2 linked regions of the Astyanax mexicanus genome follow. The protein of the gene in region 2 purifies or fractionates together with the protein of the main gene of each other region. This does not show direct contact. Links are inferred from orthologs where the notes say so. Each region holds a gene or a part of one and is shown on either strand. Other genes may lie near its edges.

Evidence for each region.
Region 1: the proteins of pkmyt1 (region 2) and zgc:86839 purify together in Homo sapiens (affinity purification with mass spectrometry; 3 studies listed by BioGRID and IntAct, counting the BioPlex papers as one, with this or other methods). This does not show direct contact. The link is inferred for Astyanax mexicanus from reciprocal best matches to the Homo sapiens genes PKMYT1 and CKS2.

Annotation. Positions count from the first base shown.
Region 1 is NC_064424.1:46,531,225-46,542,234, forward strand, and holds zgc:86839 (cyclin-dependent kinases regulatory subunit 2-like), read right to left. Parts: upstream 5,683-11,010; 5' UTR 5,525-5,682; coding exon 5,466-5,524; intron 4,799-5,465; coding exon 4,671-4,798; intron 4,083-4,670; coding exon 4,042-4,082; 3' UTR 2,529-4,041; downstream 1-2,528. Other genes in the region: si:ch1073-398f15.1 (cardiomyopathy-associated protein 5), read right to left, coding at 8,332-10,471. UniProt on the Homo sapiens protein: Binds to the catalytic subunit of the cyclin dependent kinases and is essential for their biological function.
Region 2 is NC_064422.1:3,365,771-3,376,761, forward strand, and holds the start of pkmyt1 (membrane-associated tyrosine- and threonine-specific cdc2-inhibitory kinase), read right to left. Parts: upstream 5,249-10,991; 5' UTR 4,833-5,248; intron 4,804-4,832; exon of another isoform or gene 4,619-4,803; intron 4,403-4,618; exon of another isoform or gene 4,162-4,402; intron 2,537-4,161; 5' UTR 2,521-2,536; coding exon 2,152-2,520; intron 1,157-2,151; coding exon 919-1,156; intron 835-918; coding exon 528-834; intron 434-527; coding exon 327-433; intron 1-326. UniProt on the Homo sapiens protein: Acts as a negative regulator of entry into mitosis (G2 to M transition) by phosphorylation of the CDK1 kinase specifically when CDK1 is complexed to cyclins. Mediates phosphorylation of CDK1 predominantly on 'Thr-14'. Also involved in Golgi fragmentation.

The sequences.
Region 1 (11,010 bases), on a different chromosome or scaffold from region 2:
TTAAACACTGTTTAATCATCATCGTTCACTGTCCTCCGTTCTCTATTACACACTCCTGTCTCAAACTGAAACACCTTGTAGATAAATTAATGTCAGAGACAGAAGATCTGAATCTGTTGCTGCACAGTTTAAAGTGTTGCCCATCATCAATCCTTCATTGGTTGTTATGGGATGCTGACCACAGAATGCTGTTGGTGGACTGTTCTCTGTCCAGCACTGATGCTGAGGTGTTTAAAAACTCCAGCAGCACTGCTGTATAGGATCCACTCGTACAGTCAGCACAACACATACTATCACCTCATTCAGTGTCACTATAGTGGTGATAATAATAATAATAATAATAATAATATAAAATGCAGAAAAAAAAATTAAAGGACGCGGGTTTGACAGGTGGAGTGTCAATAAGAAAGAAAGTGGACTTCTACAAACATTGGGGGTGTTCTAAAACTTTTGACCAGTCGAGTATAAAATTACTGTTCCGGTCATTTTTTGATTGTTTTTACTGTTTGCAGATGAAGCCAATAGTGTCTCTAAAGAGTTAAACCAGTGGAGAGAAGCTCTGGCAGAACATGAGCACCAGCTTCAGAACTGGAAGAAGGCCTGGGTAGGTACACACACACACACACACACACACACACACTCACTCAGCTGAGGGTGAAATCTTTTCTATACTCTTGTGTGTCTAAATGGTGCCATTGTTCTGTGGTTTCCTTTGGTTTGGTACTGAGCGTGTGTGTGTGTGTGGTGCGTGTGTATGTGCATGTATGCGTGTGTGTGGTGTGTGTTGAATGTGCAGAAGCAGAAGGCAGAGAGGAAGCACTCATGGCTTCTGACTCGCATGCTATCCTAACATACCGTGACAACAAGTTTCTGAATCAGTTTATCTGATTTTGCTATTTATAGGTTTATGTTTGAGTAAAATGAACATTGTTGTTTTATTCTATAAACTACAGACAACATTTCTCCCAAATTCCAAATAAAAATATTCTCATTTAGAGCATTTATTTACAGAAAATGAGAAATGTCTGAAATAACAAAAAAAAAAGATGCAGAGCTTTCAGACCTCAAATAATGCAAAGAAAACAAGTTCATATTCATAAAGTTTTAAGAGTTCAGAAATCATCAATATTTGGTGGAATAACCCTGGTTTTTAATCACAGTTTTAATTTCATGCATTTTGGCATCATGTTCTCCTCCACCAGTCTTACACACTGCTTTTGGATAACTATTATATTATAATTATAATTATATATATATATATATATATATCTGTTTCTCTGTACAGGAGAGCTGTGATGGGCAGGGGGTTCTCTGAGTGAGCTCTACGGCTCCTCACCAGTTTCTAAATCGCCACCCAGTTCCACTGATCCAGTGAGTCTGAGTGAAGTCTGGGCCTGATCACAGCCTGAGAGCGGCTCACACCCTCACACACCTCACACACACCCTCACCTGGTTGAGACCACATACACACACACACACACAGACACCTATCCTCACCTGGTTGAGGTTCTACACACCTGAGGAAGACACCTCCACCCTCGTTCTCTCTGTAGGATGACTCTGGGACGGATCTCCAGTTTTTTGAGGGAGAACTTGGTTTTCAGAAAGAAAAAGACTTTTAAAACTGAAGGAGGACGAGGAGCAGGACTCAGTTCAGGATGGAAGGGGATGATCTGCAGATCTGTGAGATCTTCCACAGTGAGGGTCAAGCTCAGCTTCAGTTATCAGAGCAAGAACTCAAGCTCATTATAGAGATATAATCTGTAATAATCTGTGTGCTTTTAGAGCTCTTACCCATTTCTGCTTCGTTCAGACGAGCCAGTGTGTTGAATTGTGAGGATTTTTACTAAATCCTGCAGTTTTGTGTTTTTGCAATAAAGATTTGACGTTTATTGGGTGTGTCCTGAGTCAATCAGCTCCATATACTACATCAACACCAGCAGATATCAGACATGTCTCTCCAAACCATCACTGATTGGTGGAAACTTCACACTAGACCTCGAGCAGTTTGGACTGTGTGTCTCTCCACTCTTCCTCCAGACTCTGCTCCCTTCATTTACAAATGAAATGTAAAATGTACTGATGATCAGTGATGGTTTGGAGAGTCATGTCTGTCATCTGCTGGTGTTGATCCACTGTGTTTTATTATCAAGTCTAAAGTCAGTGCAGTTTTGTTTTCCCACAAAATCTTACAGCACTTCATATCTTACAGCTTCCCTCTGCTGCTGACAACTTTTATAATGATGCAGATTTCATTTTCCAGCAGGACTTGGCACACTGCTAAAAGTACCAATTAGTCTTATTATATAATATTCTAATTTTCTAAAACACTGATTTTTGGGTTTTTATAAATGCTTAAAATAGATCACTGTGTTTAATACATCTATATAATATATGAGTTTCACATTTTCAACTGAATTACTGAAATAAAGCAACTTTTCAATAATAGGGTCTCTGCTCTGCATTATAACTATTACTAGCACGACAGCGCCCTCTATTGCCTTAAAGGATTTATCACACACAAAACATTCAATATGAAAAAGGTGTTTTTATTAAACTGTACAAGATAAACTGGAATGATAATGTGAAAATTTTTTGGTCTTTTGTTGTTTTTTTATTATTTGGTCACAAAAAGAAAACGCAAATAGTTCCTTGATTTTAAAATAAACACTATTCTGTACTGCATTCTGGGGTGAATTCAGGGTGAATGGATCAGTGTTTTAGTTTACTGCCATTAATGGAACAAAAAACACCATATAAAATGATTATTTTCTGTAATAGTGAAGACGCTTTTCCCTCATACTGACACATGAAATTAAACCTTGTATAGACTCACAGTCACCCTTAATTCACCCCATATCAACATCACAATCATAATCCTTATTTTTCTTTTAATCATATAGAATTATCTTTATGTTCACAAGCTCAAATAGTCCAAACCTGATTCTCCAAAACATACTTTTACATTTGTCTAAACCACAAAATACACATCCTTGAATAGTAGTTTAGGATTCCAGATTACAGTTACACCCTGCTGCATTAAACTGCATTAATTAATCCAGTTCACTGGATCTGATATCAAAAGGGCTTAATAATTAGCTAAGAAGTTAAATCAGGTGTAAAAACACTTATTATGCAGGTCTACAATCTACCCCCGAGCTACAACACTAGTTTTAAGCCTACACAGCATTTTAAATGGAGATTTTCCACTGAAAATATAGTTTACTAGGCTTAATTCCTGTCCAGAAAACCACCCATGACCTCTTAGACTATGTTCAGACTGCAAATCCCAACCCAATTTGTAAACATATGATCGTAAATCACATTTAAAATGTTGTTTCTGGCTGTCCAGACTCTCAACAATCAATCTGGATATAAAATAAATCAGATTTGAGCTCTCAGTGTGAACACAACCTATACATTCTGATCTACAGGTGTCTAAATTCAGCTCTGGTTAATCCAGTTCACTGGATAAATCCACATAATTGATGTTTCTGCTTGATTACACCTGATTTAACCCCAGCTTTAATAATCAAACCTTACTTAAATCAGTTTTAAAGCATCTCTTAAACTGAATGTAACCAATGTTTCTCTACAGTACAAGCTTTCTTTGGTCCCCTTTTCCTGAAAGTGTCAGTAATTTGGCCCGAGTGCTCCCCGTACAGACGTTTCAGTGCTTTAAACAGATACAAGTGATCAATTAACCTTCTTTTACCCAAAGAACAACAAAAATAAACACTGTTTTTTTTTTTTTAAGGCATCGGTGCTCAAAATGCAGCAGAACTCTCGATGGTTTGTAGTGATGTTCAGTTAGACAGGCACAGCAGACGTGATTCACATGTTTAAAAGCCCTCTTTCAGATTCACACCGTTTCTTTCAGACACACATCCTCTTCATTTCCTAACTGAGCGAAGTCGCTGAGAAAAATCCAGCTCGTCTACAGGAAGTCAGTAAACTTCAGTAAAGGTTGCAAGTATTCACTGAATACCAGAATAATCCACAGGAAGGTTCCAGAAGATCTGAGGGCCACAGTCACCATCGTTATTTTGGAAGAGGTCTTCTAAACAACAGGATGTGAGGCTCTGGAAGACAAAGAAAGAAAAAAAATGAGAAATGCATTTTAGGGCTGCATCGATTAGTCGATATAATCGACAGTGACGATTATATAAAAAAAAAATAAAAATAAAAATGATGATTCCAAATGTTCATTGTTGACAAATTGTTAATTTGCAGCACTACACAAAGTACAGGGGACAGTAAAAAGTGCCCAAATACAAAATATTACACATTTCCTCACTAAATATCAGCACTTTCCATATTTAAAGGTCAATGTTCTGGACATTTGAAGGGCTTTTAAATCCCTTGTTCAGCTGTTTCTATCAATTTAAAGTGAAGAAGCAAGCAAGCAGAGATGAAGGACATGGCAGACATAATCGTCGATTAATCGAATAATCAGAAAAATAATCCAAAATAGACATTAGATGCAGTCCTAATGTATATGCCATTATTTTTAACAATACCGTAAAATAGTCATGCTGTCGAGCTCAAGATTCAAGTGCTTTGTTTATTGAAGGATATGAAATGTTTGTTTTCACTACTTCAGCAGAATTCTCTTAAAATAAAACGTGTTAAAAAGGGGTAAAAGGTCACCTTAACTTAGAAATACTGACCAGGTTCATGAATCATATAATGCACCCATCCCAGAGACTGCTGCACTCCCAGCCTCCTCCACTCGTCCTCCGACATCAGGTGAGACTTGGGCACCTGTTTGGCGAGTTCTCGAGGTAAAACCACATGTCTGGTGAGAAAACAGAATCACAAAGTTTATTGGCACTGCTGTGTGTGTGTGTATTACTGTGTATCCAAATATAGATTAGCTCCTTAGTGCTGGATACAGTTTTCTAGGTGGACGGTTGTTTCTGGTTAAGAGTAGGCTGTGTGTGATTGGCTGCCAAGTCTGTGACTAAAAAGTCTGTGACTTGTCTTAAGATATGAGAGATTGTCAGACTTTAGTCGACTTTTAGTCGACTTTTAAGTATTTTAAGAGTTGTGTAGTGTATCCTTCGTGAGTCCTTTGGCAAGGCATGTAAATGTTATTTTTTACTTTTTACAGAGTTTGTATAGAATTTAAACAACTACACAGCACACATAAAAATCACGTTATACTCATACTGACCCAGTAAAACACACAGAGTTAATGCAGAGTCTGAAATCTCTTTAGAAAACCCAGTTGTCTTTAGAGATTTAACTTTTATTACTTTATTTTTGTTTTTAAATGAAACTAAAAGAGTTTGCTGACTTTTAGCAGCAGCTCCCACACAGGAAAAGGCCTGAGAAACCCGGCCAGCAGCGTGAACAGCCTCTTTACTCTATTGACTGATTATTATTATTAATGTTTAACAGTAATTTAATCCTAATTTTGGATTTAATTTAATAAATCCCGCTGTACCTGTCCGCTCGCTCACCTGTACTCGTAGAGGTCGTCGTTGTATTTATCGGAGTAGTAGATCTGTTTGTGTGACATTCCGAAACAAAGCGCTGAGAAAAAAACACTAAAACACTCCGAATAACTCCAAATTAATCCGGATTAAACTCGATTCCGCTGTATTTGAAGCGAATAATCGCGTGCTGATCAGAACTGCAGCTCCTGTTTCCTCTCCAAAGGAATTCAATGACTTTTTTCAAACGCCGGATTGAAATGAAATTCCGCCTCTCTGATTGGACGAGGCGGAGTCACGTGACTGTAAACCTCCACTGTCATTGGTGGATGCTCAGACGACACAGAAACGTGTTCGACTTCCGATCAGAGAGCGTGTGGAGCGGAAACTGCACACTCCATACTGAGCTCTGAGTTACTCAAACACTAGAGGGCGCTACCGAGGGAGTCTAAAATTAATGGATTTATTTAAAGCTTTTGAGCAAAATCAGAGTTTTTTTAAGCTAATAGTGGCGTCAATCGATTAAAAAATTTAATCTGATTAATCATGAAAATATTCTGTGATAAAATGCAATTAATCGCTTGTTCTTCTTAAAACACAAGTGTTAATAGTGGATATTTAAATGCAAATAAAGCTGTAAATAAAAATGTAAATGTAAAGGTTTGTTATCATTAATCAGTTTGTTGTGGTGTGATGTGTGCCGGTGTGAAGGATCGTATAAATCAATAGGGTATCGGAATGGTAACCTATACTACTGCATCTCAAAAAATTAGAAAATAATTTTTTAAAAGTTACTTTATTTTATTAATTCAGTTTAAAATGTAAAACTCATATATTATATAGATGTTATGTTGATGATTATGGCTTTCAGCCAATGAAAACCCAAAAATGTACCAGAATTTCAATACCAATATATTATATAGATGTATTACATACAGAGTGATCTATTTTAAGCGTTTATTTCTTTTATTGTTGATGATTATGGCTTACAGCCAATGAAAACCCTAAAATCAGTGTCTCAGAAAATTAGAATATTATATAATAAGACTATTTAGTACTTTTGGCAGTGTGGGCAGTGTGCCAAGTCCTGCTGGAAAATGAAATCCGCATCTCTATACAAGATCAGCAGAGGGAAGCTGTAAGATATGAAGTGCTGTAAGATTTTGTGGGAAAACAAAACTGCACTGACTTTAGACTTGATAATAAAACACAGTGGATCAACACCAGCAGATGACAGACATGACTCTCCAAACCATCACTGATCATCAGTAAATTTTACATTTCATTTAAAGGAAATTAAGGGAGCAGAGTCTGGAGGAAGAGTGGAGAGACACACAGTCCAAACTGCTCGAGGTCTAGTGTGAAGTTTCCACCAATCAGTGATGGGTTGGAGACTGTTTTCCATTGTTTTCATTGGCTGTAATCCATAATCATCAACAATAAAATAAATAAACGCTTAAAATAGATCTCTCCGTGTTTAATACATCTATATAATATATAAGTTTCACTTTTTTAAACTAAATTACTGGAAAAAAGTAACTGTTACGCTTTTTAAATCCATTTGAAATCTATCTAGTTGTATTTATTCCACCAGTTTTAACACATACAACACGTTTCAAGCCAGGTTATGTACAGTTTATTGATGTATAAACAGATATTCTGTCCTCATAAATTAGCACGTTTACATTTACATATTACAACTTTAGTGTTATTGATATTTCAGGAAAGTTATATACATTATAACTCTTCTGTTTCAGCCAAAGGTGATTCCTAAGTCTATATACAAGACCCACACAGTCTTTTTTTTAATCATTATACACTTTTTTCATTTATCTGTTTGTTTTAACCGGAGTAGGTTTGAGGTGTTCTAGTACGGCTAGATGAAATGATATCTCATTTCGATGACATATTTACAAAAATCATCTAAAAGCTGATGCCAGACCAATGGATGAAACACCACTGTGGGAATTCATGTAACAACCAGGGAATAATAGATTATACATAATATAGATTTCTGAATATAGATTTGTGAAGAACATGTGAAGTAATGGTTGGAATACTGTATACTTTTAAAACTTTTTTTTGAGTAATCCCATATAACAAAGGGCCTGAGATCAAGACCTTTAATCCAGTTTCCAATATTGGCCATTTTTTTTGGTGATTATTGGTAGGTGTGGCATTAAATAGGTGATAAATTAATCAAAACATCCGCTGAGACAGTATTGGGCCAAATGTAGTTTAAACTAGGCAACCGAAATGTTGGTAAAAGCGTTAATGAGTAAATCCCATATTATAGCAGTAACTGCAGTTTCAGCAAATGCAGTACAGGCAAATTTCTGTATTATACTTGGCAACCAGGGTGATAGCAACTACTGCACAGGCCAATTGCTGTATTATACTCAACAAATTGGTTAATGGGACATGCAGCACTGGCCAATTGCTGTATTAAACTCAGCACTTGGGGTGTTGGTACATACATCACAGATCAATTGCTGTATTATACTCAGCAACCGAGGGTCAAATTTGTCTTCAGGAAGAAAGAGAACCCAGTATAGGTCTTAACTTGGGGGATTTAACTTTTGAGCAGCATCAATAGACAGCTTGAATTGTATTCGGAGGAAAGCGCCAGATCACCAGCTCTGATACATCAGCTAATAGAAGCCTGTGTCAGCATGCTCTCAGGGGAAGAGCATGGTCAATTGTCCTCTCTCGGGCTCTGGCTGCTGATAGCAAGAGGAATTACCCAGGGTGTGAACTTTGGGTTTGCTTTGGGTGTCAATTTACTTTAGGTCATATACAACATTAGGGTTGTCATTACTGTGAAATGTAATGCAAGTGCACGTCAGAAGAGCCCATTTCGTAAACTTGGAGACTAATCTAGTCTAGGTTTAAATTAGGAGATTGGAGCATCTACAATCTCGTAATCTGCCTCGACTGCATCATACTGGTTGTCTGTCTGACTTGGTGGATATTCCACCATAGTGAATCCTTCTGAGTCCTTCTGAGGCGTGGCGTATTCACTGGCCTCCTGCTTGGTGATGAGCTCATAGTCCAGCCCAGCTTCTCCTGTAGGTTCTGCTGCCTTAGGTGTGGATGAGCAAACGTCACTGGCACCAGATTTCTGTTCTTGCTTCACTTTCATCTCTCCATGTCCCTCAGCCTCCTCCTCGACCTCTGCCGGAAGTAGAGGAGTCAGGTCCAGGAAGGGTTTGTGGGGTGGTGTTATGGGTTTGACTGTTTGAGGCGATTTGATCGAGAGAGTTCCAGTGGGTGCTTTAGGTCTCTTTGTCTTTTCTGTCTTTTTTGTCTTCCCCGAAACAGTTTGGGCAGCGAATTCAGCAGCTGCTGATTTTCTGTCTACAGTTACCCAGCTTGCGTCCCCTGAGGAAGACTCTGTGCTTATGTCAAGTGGTAAAAAAGCCTCTGCAATTTCTATATCATCTTCTGACGGCAGGAAAACGTCATTTCCTGCCTGTGTCATCCTTTTGCCGTTCTTTGTGGATTCATCCTGAAAAGCCACACGCCGAGTCTTTTTCACTTCCATCGTTTCCTCAGGTTCTAGCTTTTCTACCTGAAGATGTTCACAAGGGGATGAGCTTGCACTGTCCCTAAAGAAATCAGTGATTTCCTCTTCAACCTGTGGTCCAGACTGGTACCTTTCATGCTGTGCAATGCCAAAAGCGTCCTCAGAAAACATCTTCACCCTCTCCACCGTACGGTCACCGGTCAATTGAACTGCCCCTGCTAATGGAGTTTCGTCTTTGAGTACAAACTTCTCCAGGTAGCCTCTGTCTTCTATGTCGGACTCCTGACTGTGAAAGGACTTCTCCGAGGTCACGCTCTCCGTGTCCTCTTGCTTTATCCTGGTTCCTATGGCATCCGCATACAGATCTGTGTACATGAAGGCCAAGGCTTTTGGCTCCTCCAGCAGGTTCAGATCTATAATTTTTGCAGGTCCCTCAGGGAGGTAAACTGGGGTAAGTATCGTCTCCTGGCTACCGAACAAGGCGGATCCGCTTTCCTTCAAAGGTGACGTGGGCAGATCTCCTCGGTTTGCTCCATTCCTTGGTAGGATTTGTTTGTCTGGATCGCTTCCACCACCATAAAACACCTCGTCCACATGTTCACTAGCAATCTCCAGGCCACTGACTGATGCTGAATCGCTTGCAATTTCCACTTCTGGTTTTGCATTGAGAGTCTTGTCTTTACTTACTTTATCTTCTGCTTCCTGCTCTGTCGAGACCTCAGGCTCATCGGAAGCCTCCAATGTAGGAGCTCCTCCTGCTGGTGTCTGATGGTCCAGCAGTGTGAACTTCTCAAAGTAGTCTTCGCTAGTGGCTCCTTTTCGCGGAGGCTTGATTGGTGAAACCAGGACTGGTTCGGGAACTGCCTGGAGCATGGCTTGAATGTCCTCTTTTGGTGTTTCCTCAGGTTCTTCGACGATGTCTTGGGCTTTGACGACAGGAGTTTCTTCCAGGTAGGACAGGTTATCCTCCAGCCCTTTGCTTTCCTCCTCATCCACGGTGAATATCTTTGGTGGCGCAATGATGTTCAAAATCTCGGATCCCTCAGAGACCAGGCGGAAGAGTCGCTGGTTGCCCTCCTCTTTTGGGTCTTTCTGCTCAACTACCTCTGGTTCTTCCTCCATTTTCATGTTAGGAAGAGATACCTCCACCATGGCTGGCCTTTCAGGTTCCCCCAGTCCTTCTCCCATTGTCTCCGCTTTCTTCTCAGCTTTACTCCTCTTCCTCTTCTTCCTCCTGATCAAGTGGTCCTCATCCATTATAAAGATGATTTTACCGGCTGCTTCTGGACCTGCTGGAGCTGCAGGAGGTTTTGGAAGCAGACTATAGCAGGGTTCTGTAGCAGCAGAATTTAAGTCTGAAGCCCAGGGGGTGGAGCAGCGACTGGACGACGTCTCCCAGACAATCCCGCTGTCCTCGCTCTGCACTGTGACCATGGAGAAGGCTGGGTCCATCATCAGACAGTGTAGTTTGGGCTTCACTGCCACGTCATGGACGATCTCTCTCAAACTGGAAGAACAAAAATTAAGCTGGAGTTACCAAAGTAGAACATATATATATATATATATATATAGTCATAATTTTGTGCTTGATTGGTGTAAAACACAGAATTATGTCATCTGACCCGAGTTTCTCAACCCAGGATTCAATAATCAGCTCATTAAAAAGCACTTTAGAGTTGTAGGGGGTGTGATAAAAGCAGGGACTCTATTAAGATAAGATAAGATAAGATAAGATAAGATAAGATAAGATAAGATAAGATGGGAAAGATTTTAATATAAATTTGCAATGTTACAGCAGCACAGAGGACAGGGCAAACGAAGTAGCATGAATATACAAGCAATATATAAAATAGAAAAATAAAATAAATATTTTAAACTATAATAAAAAAAGATAAAATATTGCACATTAAGCATATTGCACATGATGGTGGTAAACATATTAGCAATACTAACTAAACATACTGTACATACTAACTAAAATGTGCAGGGCAGGGGTGCTTCCCAACCAGGGATGTGAAACCCTGATCTGAACCATCAAAACTGATG
Region 2 (10,991 bases):
AAAGCACTTATAGATAGGGAGAAAATAAACGCTCCGGTTTAAAATTAATTCTCCCGCCAAAATTTAAAAATATTTTAACAATTTATTCCGGGTCCGGAAGGGATGGCATATGGGTCCGCTGGTTGCGGACCACGGATCTACAGTTTCCAGAGTCATGAAGTGCCTGCATGCACAATTCCTGAACCCATCTTTCAAATAAAAAGTCCACTGCAGAGTTCTGTAACTGCAGCAACAATTTGGCAATAAATGAATGTATTGTACACAAATATCTGCCAGTATGTAAAGTAAGTCATAGGATTTAAACATGACAGAAGATAAATAATTACCGTTAGTGAATTCTGATGGCAGACAACCCTTCCTGAGCTGCTGCCAGCCCTCTCCTCCTTTAGGCACTTCAATATTACAGGACAGCTCCAGGATGGACACACCCAGACTATGGCAAAACACAACACATCTGGTTTCACACAAACATAACGTACAGCACAAATACAGATTGAACCACACAGAGAGAACGTTACTTTGCTAACCTGAAAACATCTGCAGCAGCTCCATACTCTCCCCTCAGCAGTTCAGGAGCCATGTACCGCGGGTCTCCTTCCTGCTCATCGTCTTTCTCCCTCTTCTTCCTGTCTGTGCCTTTTCCTCCCTCTGTCGCTCCAGCCTCGCTCTCTCTGGGCAGCTCCAGCAAGAGGCCAAAATCACCGAGTTTGAGCCGCCCAGAACGCGTGAGGAACACATTGGCTGGTTTGAGGTCCATGTGAGCAAAGCCCTGAGAGTGTAGGTGATCAAGAGCCAAGAGCAGATCACATAGGTAATACCAGGCACATGCCTCACCTGCAAAAGCAAGAACAAAAAAAAGTGTTGGGGTTTTTCTCCTCAACAGTAAAAATAAAAATAAAATGATGCAAAAAGTCTCACCTGGATTTGAAGGCTGGTTCTCAGTGTGGAGAAGCAGGCTGGTGCAGCACAGTTCAGTCTGAATGTAGAGATGCCCTCCCTCCTCCCAGGCGGCGATGAAGCCCAGGATATGCGGGTGCGGATGGAGACGCTCATGGTTCCGAGCCTCTTTGATGCTCCGGGAGCGTTCAACCTCCCCACGGAAGCGCTGCACCGAGCGTTTCACTGCATACTGCCGCCCATCTAACAGACTCTTTACCTGTAGGTGAAAAAACAATTTGCACAAGAGGGTAGTTTATTTTTACTATACTGTTAAATGAACAGGTTAAATATAAAAAATATATATCTTTTGGTCCTTTTTCTGCACAAAAAAACAGCAATTATCGGTTTGCGATATCGTTCAAATCTAAACATTATTCCGACTGGTATCATTATGTTCTTAAAAAGTGGTCCAAATATTTAATACTGAACAGTGTCTAATTTTGGGTAACTACATGTCAGTATTTTGAGCTTCAGCCTGTAATCCAGCCTCCAGCTTCTCTCTCAGTGTACTGAGTGACCTGGGTAAGCACAGTTCGAAAACATAACTGCTGTTGTACCTTACAATATGAGTAACTATAGTCCTTTTAAATATATTAATACTGTAGCTTGAAGGATATTAATTATTAATAAATAAATATTAATGCACACTGAACTGAATGTATTTGTTAACAGGAGAAAGAAGGGAATTGTGATAAACTGATAAACATTTGCTTAAAAACATTAACACCTCTAATGGCTTCAATTAAACATATTGTAAATTTATGTTAAACTTGTGTTTTACTTGTGCAAAAAAGCTTTGCAAAAATATAGAAATAAATAAGATTTTTTTTAAATACAGTGATATACCGTGAAACCTTCAGAATCTTGCAAAATACTGTTATATGCATTTTTGTTCATAGCGCTCAGCACTAAGCCGTAGTATAATTTCAGTTTCAGTATCAAGATATTCAGGTATCATGTTGAAAGTTATCATTTTGTCATCGTGTCCACACTACTCACAAATATGCACCTGTAATGAGTGTAATATTTTGAAAGAATTTATGACACTTCTTCTACAGACTCTGCACGCAGCTAATGTTTCTACAGACAGTCTTCTAAGAATCTTAAAGGATCTACATAACTCTGCTTCTGCCAGCTCTAAATTAAATACAAACTTCAGGACCAGAACCTGGTCTATTTACACTGGTTTTGTTCTACCTGTAGTTACCTCACCTTATACACCTCCCCAAAAGAGCCTCTGCCGATGAGGCCCAGGTTTATGAAGCACTGGCTGAAGAAGGACTGCGGCCGGCCAGGGTCATACAGAGAGAGTGGTGGTGGGTTTTCAATCAGCTCACAGGAGAGCGGGGTCCAGGGGGTCCGACGCTGGGGAAATACGCGGCTCACAGAGGGACAGCCTTTGGAGGGGGGTCGCGGTGGCAGGGAGTGCGAGAGCTGACGCTGAGGGGAGTGGGAGTCTGACGACACAGACGAGGAGAAGGCAAGGCGGCGCTTTTTCAGAGAGAATGATTGCTGGGCATGGGAAAAGTGCACGGGCAGGGGCAGTGGGGTGCTGACCATGTCGACTCTCTGGACAAACATACAGGAAAAGCAGCACCTGAAAATACACCATCGAAATAACAGTTCATTCCAACAAGTCCGAGTCAGTCAAAAGATTACAGAGACTGTGTACAGAAGTTCAGCTCAGCCTGTTCCAACAAAAAGAACATTTGATTTACCTTAATTTAATTTCTATAGGAAGTGTATGGGTTTTTTTTTTATAAGGGATGCACAATGATATCAGGATTATGTCAACAATAATAGTCTTTTTTTTTTTTTTAGAATCATATTATTTGTGCAAAAAACACAATAGTGTTATACGCTTTGTCCAGTAATTCAGAGCTAAGGAATAAATGGTTAGAATTTGTCTGTGGAACACGCCAGGTAAGTTGAGATATGTAGGTGTGTATATTTAGAATGGTTCTGTTTACACTAGTTAAAAGCACTTTTTTCCAAAAAAAAGGGCATATGGTATTAATTCATTTTAGAGACAACTAGACATTTAAAAATGAATTAAAAAACGATAGAATGAGACCTTTAAATTAAAGGAGAAATCTGGTGTAACATGGACTTGTGTTGTAGTGAAACATGATAATGAGTACATTTGTGAAAAAGCCCCACTCTGTTCACCCCCAGTGTTTATTGTTTTTAGTCGATGCTCCCAACAGGCTTACAATGCTAGTGATAAGGGCATAGGGTTGGCTATGCATAGAAATGGCTATTTTTACACCATAAACAAGCTCAAAGTAGCTCAACACTTTATTGGTAAAATTCTAAGGGTCCTGACATTTAAAACGAAGCACTGAGACGTTTGAAGATGCACGCACAGAGAGTTTATTAAAAACAGTGGGTATACACACAATACCATCAGGTAGTTCTCGAGAATAATTTATGAGTCGACTTATGAGTAGAAAGAGTACATAGGATAGGGAACAAAGTGCAAAATTAAGTCTGTGTTAATGCATGAATATTACAGAGATTTTTAATAAGAATTAATGCATTTTCATAGAATATATTTTTACAATCTGTTTACCCATCCTACCTTTCATTTATCTTTCGTGTATACTGTGGGTATAAACAGTATTTTTACTTAGCATTCACGATCTGTACAAGTTCTCAGTGCCTCATTTTAAATGTCAGGGCCCTCAGAATTCTACAAGTAAAGTGTGGTGCTACTTTGAGCTTGTTCATTAATGGTGTAAAAATATTGAGGGCAACGCTATGCCCCTTTCTCCAGCATTGAAAGCCTGTTGGGAGCATCAGCTAAAAGCACTGTATTTCTGAATGCTGAATTTGACAACAAAAATTTGTACGTTACTTATCATGTTTCACTACGACCCAAGTCCATTTCATCCCGGATTTCTCCTTTAATTTAAAGTATCTTTTTTTCATCTGGAACATAATGTCGTAAAGACGTGTTGCAATCAGAGCTAGTGTTTATTCAGGGTTCTGTGGTATCAGGGCTTGTTTTCTGGTTGAGGCTGGGCTGTAGGGTCTAACCCCTGAACTCGGGGCTGGGTAGGTAGGTGAACTGTGGCGGGTAGAGTGGATGTTAGCCGCTATGCTAACTAAAGCTAACTCACTAAACCCGAGTTAAAAACTCGGAACTCCGGGCGCGTTTCGTCTCATTTGTTCGTAAACAAACTGAAAATAATTGGGAATGAGATTCTCCCGCACAGAAACCTGAGTTTTCTCACAGCTCTGCAGTCTAACTGGAGCCGGACTCTCCTCCTCACAATTCTCACAGAACCAGAACCCGCTGCTGCTGCTGTCGGTACCGGTGTTCTGTCGAGTTATGCTACCCATCGATAAGTGCTTTCCAAAGGCACTGCGCATGCGCCAATCTACCTTTTAAATTTATTTTTATATTCTTTTGCGTTTTTTATTCATTTAACGACCTGGACTTACTGTAATTACATAAAAAGTGTAAATCACAATTAATATTAATAATAGAAAATATTATAAATATATATATATATATATATATATATATATATATATATATATATATATAAGCAGATTCAAATAACCTCTCATCACTATAACTTTACCCTGAGACAGTGCTTCATGCTATCAAAAACAGCACATAGACTTCTGCTGGGAAAAATGCTCTAAAATTGTGCTACTATTGTATTTTTACCTTTAATTATACACAAGGGAAGCACGTCTTGACAAGGTAGCAAAACTCAGCAGAACACCTTCACTCCGCTGACAGCTTCAGATTTCCCCTTAGCCCAGCCCGTACTGCCCCGCAGCACGCAGCCCTGCGCCAGGTTCACATAGCGTTGTATCGGTTCTGTACAGACACTATTTATATTATTAATATTAATAATAATACAGGAGAAACCTCTCACCGTGTCCGCGCTTTCAAATTCCCTCCCCACGCGCCAAAACACACAGTGACGTAATGCCACGTTTATCAAAGAGACTGTAGAGAGAGCGAATACCCACTCCATATGGAGGAATTGAGCAAAATCTATAAAAAAAAGTTTATAAATATTTGATCATTTTCATACAGAACAGTTTGATATTTGTACTAATTGTACTAACACAAAAACAATATCAACTGATTTACCAACGCAGAAATGCGTTTCAAAGAATTTAAACTTCAGTTATAAACATTTTAAATGTGCTCTAGCTGTAACTTCAGAATCAGCTCACCTGTCAGTAGAGGTGGGAAACCAGGTCCAGAGAGTAAAAATCCAACCCAGGGTTTTGTACCAACTGCCTAAGCGACTCTACTGCATGTCAACAGACCCGCCCAGGCAGTTGATACAAAACCCTTTGTTGGATTTTTACTTTCTGGACCTGGTTTATCCACCTCTACCTGTCTATAGCAGTAATGCAGCGCCTGAAGCCACTTTACTGTAGAAAATATACAGGTAAGTTTACTCTGCTCTCACTAAAAGTAAATTAATAACCTGGACAAGCAGTTAGTTACTATTTTTTTATTTGAGTTTGAGCCGATCAGCTCCATTCACCCCATTCATTGAGGACTCGCTCGCGGGCTCCCTCTAGCGGTGGGCAGTTATTTTCTGATATAACGGGGAGATCGGAAATGGGCAGTCTCTAATAAACCGGCTCTGCGTTTATATTACACACGTTTATATGACATCACAAAAAACAATAACAAAAAATAAAGGATTTAAAAACGGTAAGCATTTTAATATAGTCCTGGTGTGTATGTATAATACATACCCATAATATTTATAATCCTGACCCACTTTGGCTATGTTAATTTTAATGTGGGCACTTTAAGCTTAAAGCCGCCACAGAGCTGGTTTATAGAAAGACTGCCCCCTTCCTCTCGCCCCGGTACATCCGAAAATAACTGTATACCGCTGGGAGACCGCAAGAGAGTCCAGAATAGATGTAAGTGAATAGGGTTAAACGGCTAAAAACTCAGTTTATAAATAATAACTAAGTTCTTGTTCAGGATATTTCTTCAATTTTGGAAAGTTTAAGTTTAACTTTACTTAGAAACACGTGCCAAAAAAGCTTCGCTGAGAGGGGGTGCTTTTAATGGCAGGGGTGCTGATTTTGGCACAGCTGTTGTATGAAAATCACCCTCTCTCGGGTTATTGATTATGGAGGACCAAAACTGCCAAAATTAAAAATAAATAAATAAATAAAAACGTAAGTAAATCACTCAATAAAAGTAATATGGTGATAAAAACGCTAAAGAATAAATATAATTAATATAAAAATAAAAAAACAAAAAAAATAATATCCTAATCATTTGTTATTAATGGGTTTCTTTATTAACATTTCTTTTCAATTTACTTTTATTTATTTACATAACTATTTATTTCTGCATTAATTTATTTCCCGATTTATTTATTTCTGCATTCATTCATTTCCCAATTTATTTATTTCGGTTTTTCCTTGTCCTTATATGATAAAGAAGGGGGCGTGTTTTTCACGTACAGGCTTAGCAATCAAGCCCAGAGAGAGAGGAGCTGAAATGTCGGGGTGAAGTTTAGTATTGGATCTGCTCAGAGAAGCAGCTGCTCTCCTCAGAAAAATGGATTACAGTCTGTATTACGATCTAAATGATCTTTATTATATAATCTCCCACGTTACCAAAGTAACCACCAAATGGGCAAAACATGTACAATCCATATATGGTATCTGACATCGATCAACCAATAGGAATGCTGAGACACCGTGACATCATTGCTGGACAGCCCCTTCATTATCATAAAAGGACAAGGAAAAACAGAAATAAATAAATTGGGAAATAAATGAATACAGCAATAAATACATTGAGAAATAAATAAATACAGAAATAAAATAACGGAAAAAAATTAATGCAGAAATAAATAGTTATGTAAATAATAATCAAATTTAGAAAAATTAAACAATGTTAATTGAAAAACCCATAAATAACAATTTATTATGATATTTATTTTTATGTATATGTATTTATTTTGATATAGTAATTAGAATAATTCTTTAGCGTTTTAGTCACCATATTACTTTTATTGAGTGATTTACATACATTTTTATTTATTTATTTATTTTTAATTTTGGTCCTCCATAATTGATTAGTGAAACGAGACGTATTTTAGTTTATTTTTGCATAGTAAACAAACTAATGACAGCGGATTATCTCTCATTTTTTGCCTTTCAAGTTAAGTTATTTAACATGCTCCAAGGAGGGGGTGCTTTTTCTGGCGCGGGTGCTAAATTTGGCACAACATCTGCGCTCTGCCCACACGCTTCTCGTGCAGAGACTGAAATGAAAAATGACCCAGCAAAAAGCTACACATCGGCCCTTCGTGGGCTAAGTGTGGGCACTGTGGGCAGGGGCTAGCCCATTAAAATTCCAAACAGGCCCAACATGGGTTTTCTGTGGGCAGCCTGTTCATTGGCTGGCCCACTCAAATCCTATAAAAGGCCGCTGTGGGCTAGCCTGAACTGGTCCAGTGCATTAATGCCCCTGTAGGCCCAGTGTGGGAATTATTTGGACAGCCAACACTTTGATGCGCCCACACAAATCCCAGGCAGGCCCACTGTGGGTCAGCCCACATTCAGCCTGCACCATTTCACACCCTGAAGGGCCAGTGTGGGTTATATGTGGGCAACCCGCACTCTGGCATGCCCACACAAATCCCAGGCAGGCCCACTGTGGGTCAGCCCACATTCAGCCTGCACCATTTCACACCCTGAAGGGCCAGTGTGGGTTATATGTGGGCAACCCGCACTCTGGCATGCCCACACAAATGCCAGGCAGGCCCACTGTGGGTCAGCCCACATTCAGCCTGCACCATTTCACACCCTGAAGGGCCAGTGTGGGTTATATGTGGGCAACCCGCACTCTGGCATGCCCACATAAATCCCATGCAGAGCCAGTGTGGGTCAGCCCAAATTCAGCCTGCACTATTTCACACCCTGAAGGGCCAGTTTGGGTTATATGTGGGCAACCCGCACTCTGGCATGCCCACACAAATCCCAGGCAGGCCCACTGTGGGTCAGCCCACATTCAGCCTGCACCATTTCACACCCTGAAGGGCCAGTGTGGGTTATATGTGGGCAACCCGCACTCTGGCATGCCCACACAAATCCCATGCAGAGCCAGTGTGGGTCAGCCCAAATTCAGCCTGCACCATTTCACACCCTGAAGGGCCAGTGTGGGTTAAATGTGGGCAACCCACACTCTGGCATGCCCACACAAATCCCATGCAGAGCCAGTGCACTGCACCATTTCACACCCTGAAGGGCCAGTGTAGGATATATGTGGGCAAAACACTTTAGCATGCCTACACAAATCCTATGCAGAGCCAGTGTGGGTCAGCCCAAATTCAGCCTGCACTATTTCACACCCTGAAGGGCCAGTGTGGGTTAAATGTGGGCAACCCACACTCTGGCATGCCCACACAAATCCCATGCAGAGCCAGTGCACTGCACCATTTCACACCCTGAAGGGCCAGTGTAGGATATATGTGGGCAAAACACTTTAGCATGCCTACACAAATCCCATGCAGAGCCAGTGTGGGTCAGCCCAAATTCAGCCTGCACCATTTTACATCCTGAAGGGCCAGTGTAGGATATATGTGGGCAAAGCACAGTTTAGCATGCCCATACAATTCCCATGCAGAGCCAATGTGGTCAGCCCAAATTCAGCCTGCACCATTTCATACCCTGAAGGGCCGGTATGGGTTATATGTCTGCAACCTGCACTTTGGCATGTGCACACAAATGTCATGCAGGGACACTGTGGGTCAGCCCAAATTCAGCCTGCACCATTTACACACTGTAGGCATTGTGGGTTATATGTGGGCAGCACGCACACATATGTGAGCATGCCCACACAAATCCTATGCTAGGTTACTCTGGGTCAGCCCAAATTTACCATTCAATATTTTACAATCTGAAAGTTTGTGTCATAACAAGTTCATATGAAGGGTATCTGAATATTTTTTATTGTTTTTGTCTGTGAGAGCTAGGTAGATTAGCTAGCTTAGTGGATAGGAGCAACACTGTGTGAAATGTAGCATCAGCTCTGAAATATTTTCTAAACCAAAAGTGGAGAAAAATCAAGGTACCACAGCAGAGTTGTGCAGAGACCTTTGGAGGGGCAGGTGCTCAAAGTCAAAAGGGTGCACATGGAGAAAAAATTTGAAACACCTGCAATATCATTGATAAACTCTGATGCACATAAAACACACACACACACACACACCCAGTAACATCTCATATTTGTCAAGACATATACTGTATAGCTATACATTTTTATTTATAAAAATATTTTTATTTAATATTTTGGATAGCTACGAATTTGCTCCATGGTGCTGATTCATAATCTCACCTTTATTATTGGTAGTGCTGATAATAAATAAATAAAAATATTAAATTATAAATGTATTTGTGCTTGACTATACACTTTGTGTAAGCCAGCAAGCAAGGTTATAAAAGTTACATATTTTTTTATTTTTGCATGTGATATTTAATTTGTGTGTATTCGTGTGGGCGCAACAGGGCAGTGAGGGCATGTCAATGTGGATCATGTGACCGACGAATCCACCCCCCTCCCCCTCCCCCCTCCCTGCACGTGCCTTTACCACAGAGCAATGATCAAGCTTAAAGGCAAAGTCAGTGAGTGACTTTGGTCTGTCAAAGTGACTAAAAGGTAAGTTATAATTTCTGTTCTACTATCCGCTTTTCTATTTTTTGCTAATGTGGTGCTAATGCAGTTACCACTCTCAGGTTATTGTAGCATTATAAGGGTAGCTATGTCGAAGTTAGCATTGTGCTAAAAAAAGTTAGCATTGTGCTAAAAAAAGTTAGCATTGTGCTAAGTTAGAATGAGAATTTACCTCACATTTAAATAACACAAGGGGCTCCCAAGTTGGCAGCTTATCTCGGCTCTTGGAGAAAGACTGCTGTTAAGTAAGTTAACTTTATATCCAAGTATGTCAACAATAACCAGCTAAGGGAACAATGGCTTGCTAAGGGAAATATTAAGGGAAATGGAAAATGGAAAGATATCCACTTAAGCTAAGGGAAAGATAGCCAGTTAAGCTAAGGGAAAGATAGCCAGTTAAGCTAACGGAAAGCTAGCCAGCTAAGCTAACGGAAATATAGCCAGTTAAGCTAAGGGAAAGATATCCAGCTAAGCTAAGGGAAAGATAGCCAGTTAAGCTAAGGGAAAGATATCATTTTAAAAAGTTTTGGTATTTTTGTGAACCTGATATCCTGATATCGGCCACCTCACATGTTTATAGAATGTAACTACCAGTCACACACAGTGACTGTAAAGGCTATTTATGTTTCACCATGAATAGCCTGAAGAAATTCAAATTCAAATTCAAATAACTATCACTATATAAGAATCACTGTAATCAAATACAGTCTGCAAATTTCTCTAAAATTAAGCATTGTACATGAAAAGACACTAACAGATGTAGTATTTACCTGACTGCATTCTCATATCTCTATATTATTATTTTAAGAGGCCGTGAGAAGATCAATCATGCCACCACCAAAGGATGCAGAGATCGAGCAGGTTGCAAAGGTTCAATAGTATCTGTCTGCAGAGCCGCAGAGCCACGGATATACGCCAGCAGATTCACGCCAGCAGTTTCAAGCCAGTGGCATTCTGCGCATGCGTCAGCATGCGTTGATACCTTCTTCGGTTTTCTTAGCGTTAAATAACTGGTTTGACTTAGCTAGGGTTAGTTAAAAAGTTTTAGGAGGTATTCATATCATATTCTGACACATATTAGTCTTATGTGCCTCGATAGACTAATGGTCTATGTAGACATATTGTTCAATTACCCTTCAATTTAACCTCAACATTGATAGTTGATAGTTGGCTTACATGGGATTTACTTTTACATTTACTCATAACATGTATATGCCAGAATTAACTATTCACATCAAATATACAATACGTGATGTATATCATAATATAACTTTGGTGCAATGTTTTATATTTAGATTTATGGTTTCCATGCCAATAAAAATGAAGTTCTCTCATTTTTTATACTGATTGTCTTTTTTTTTGGACA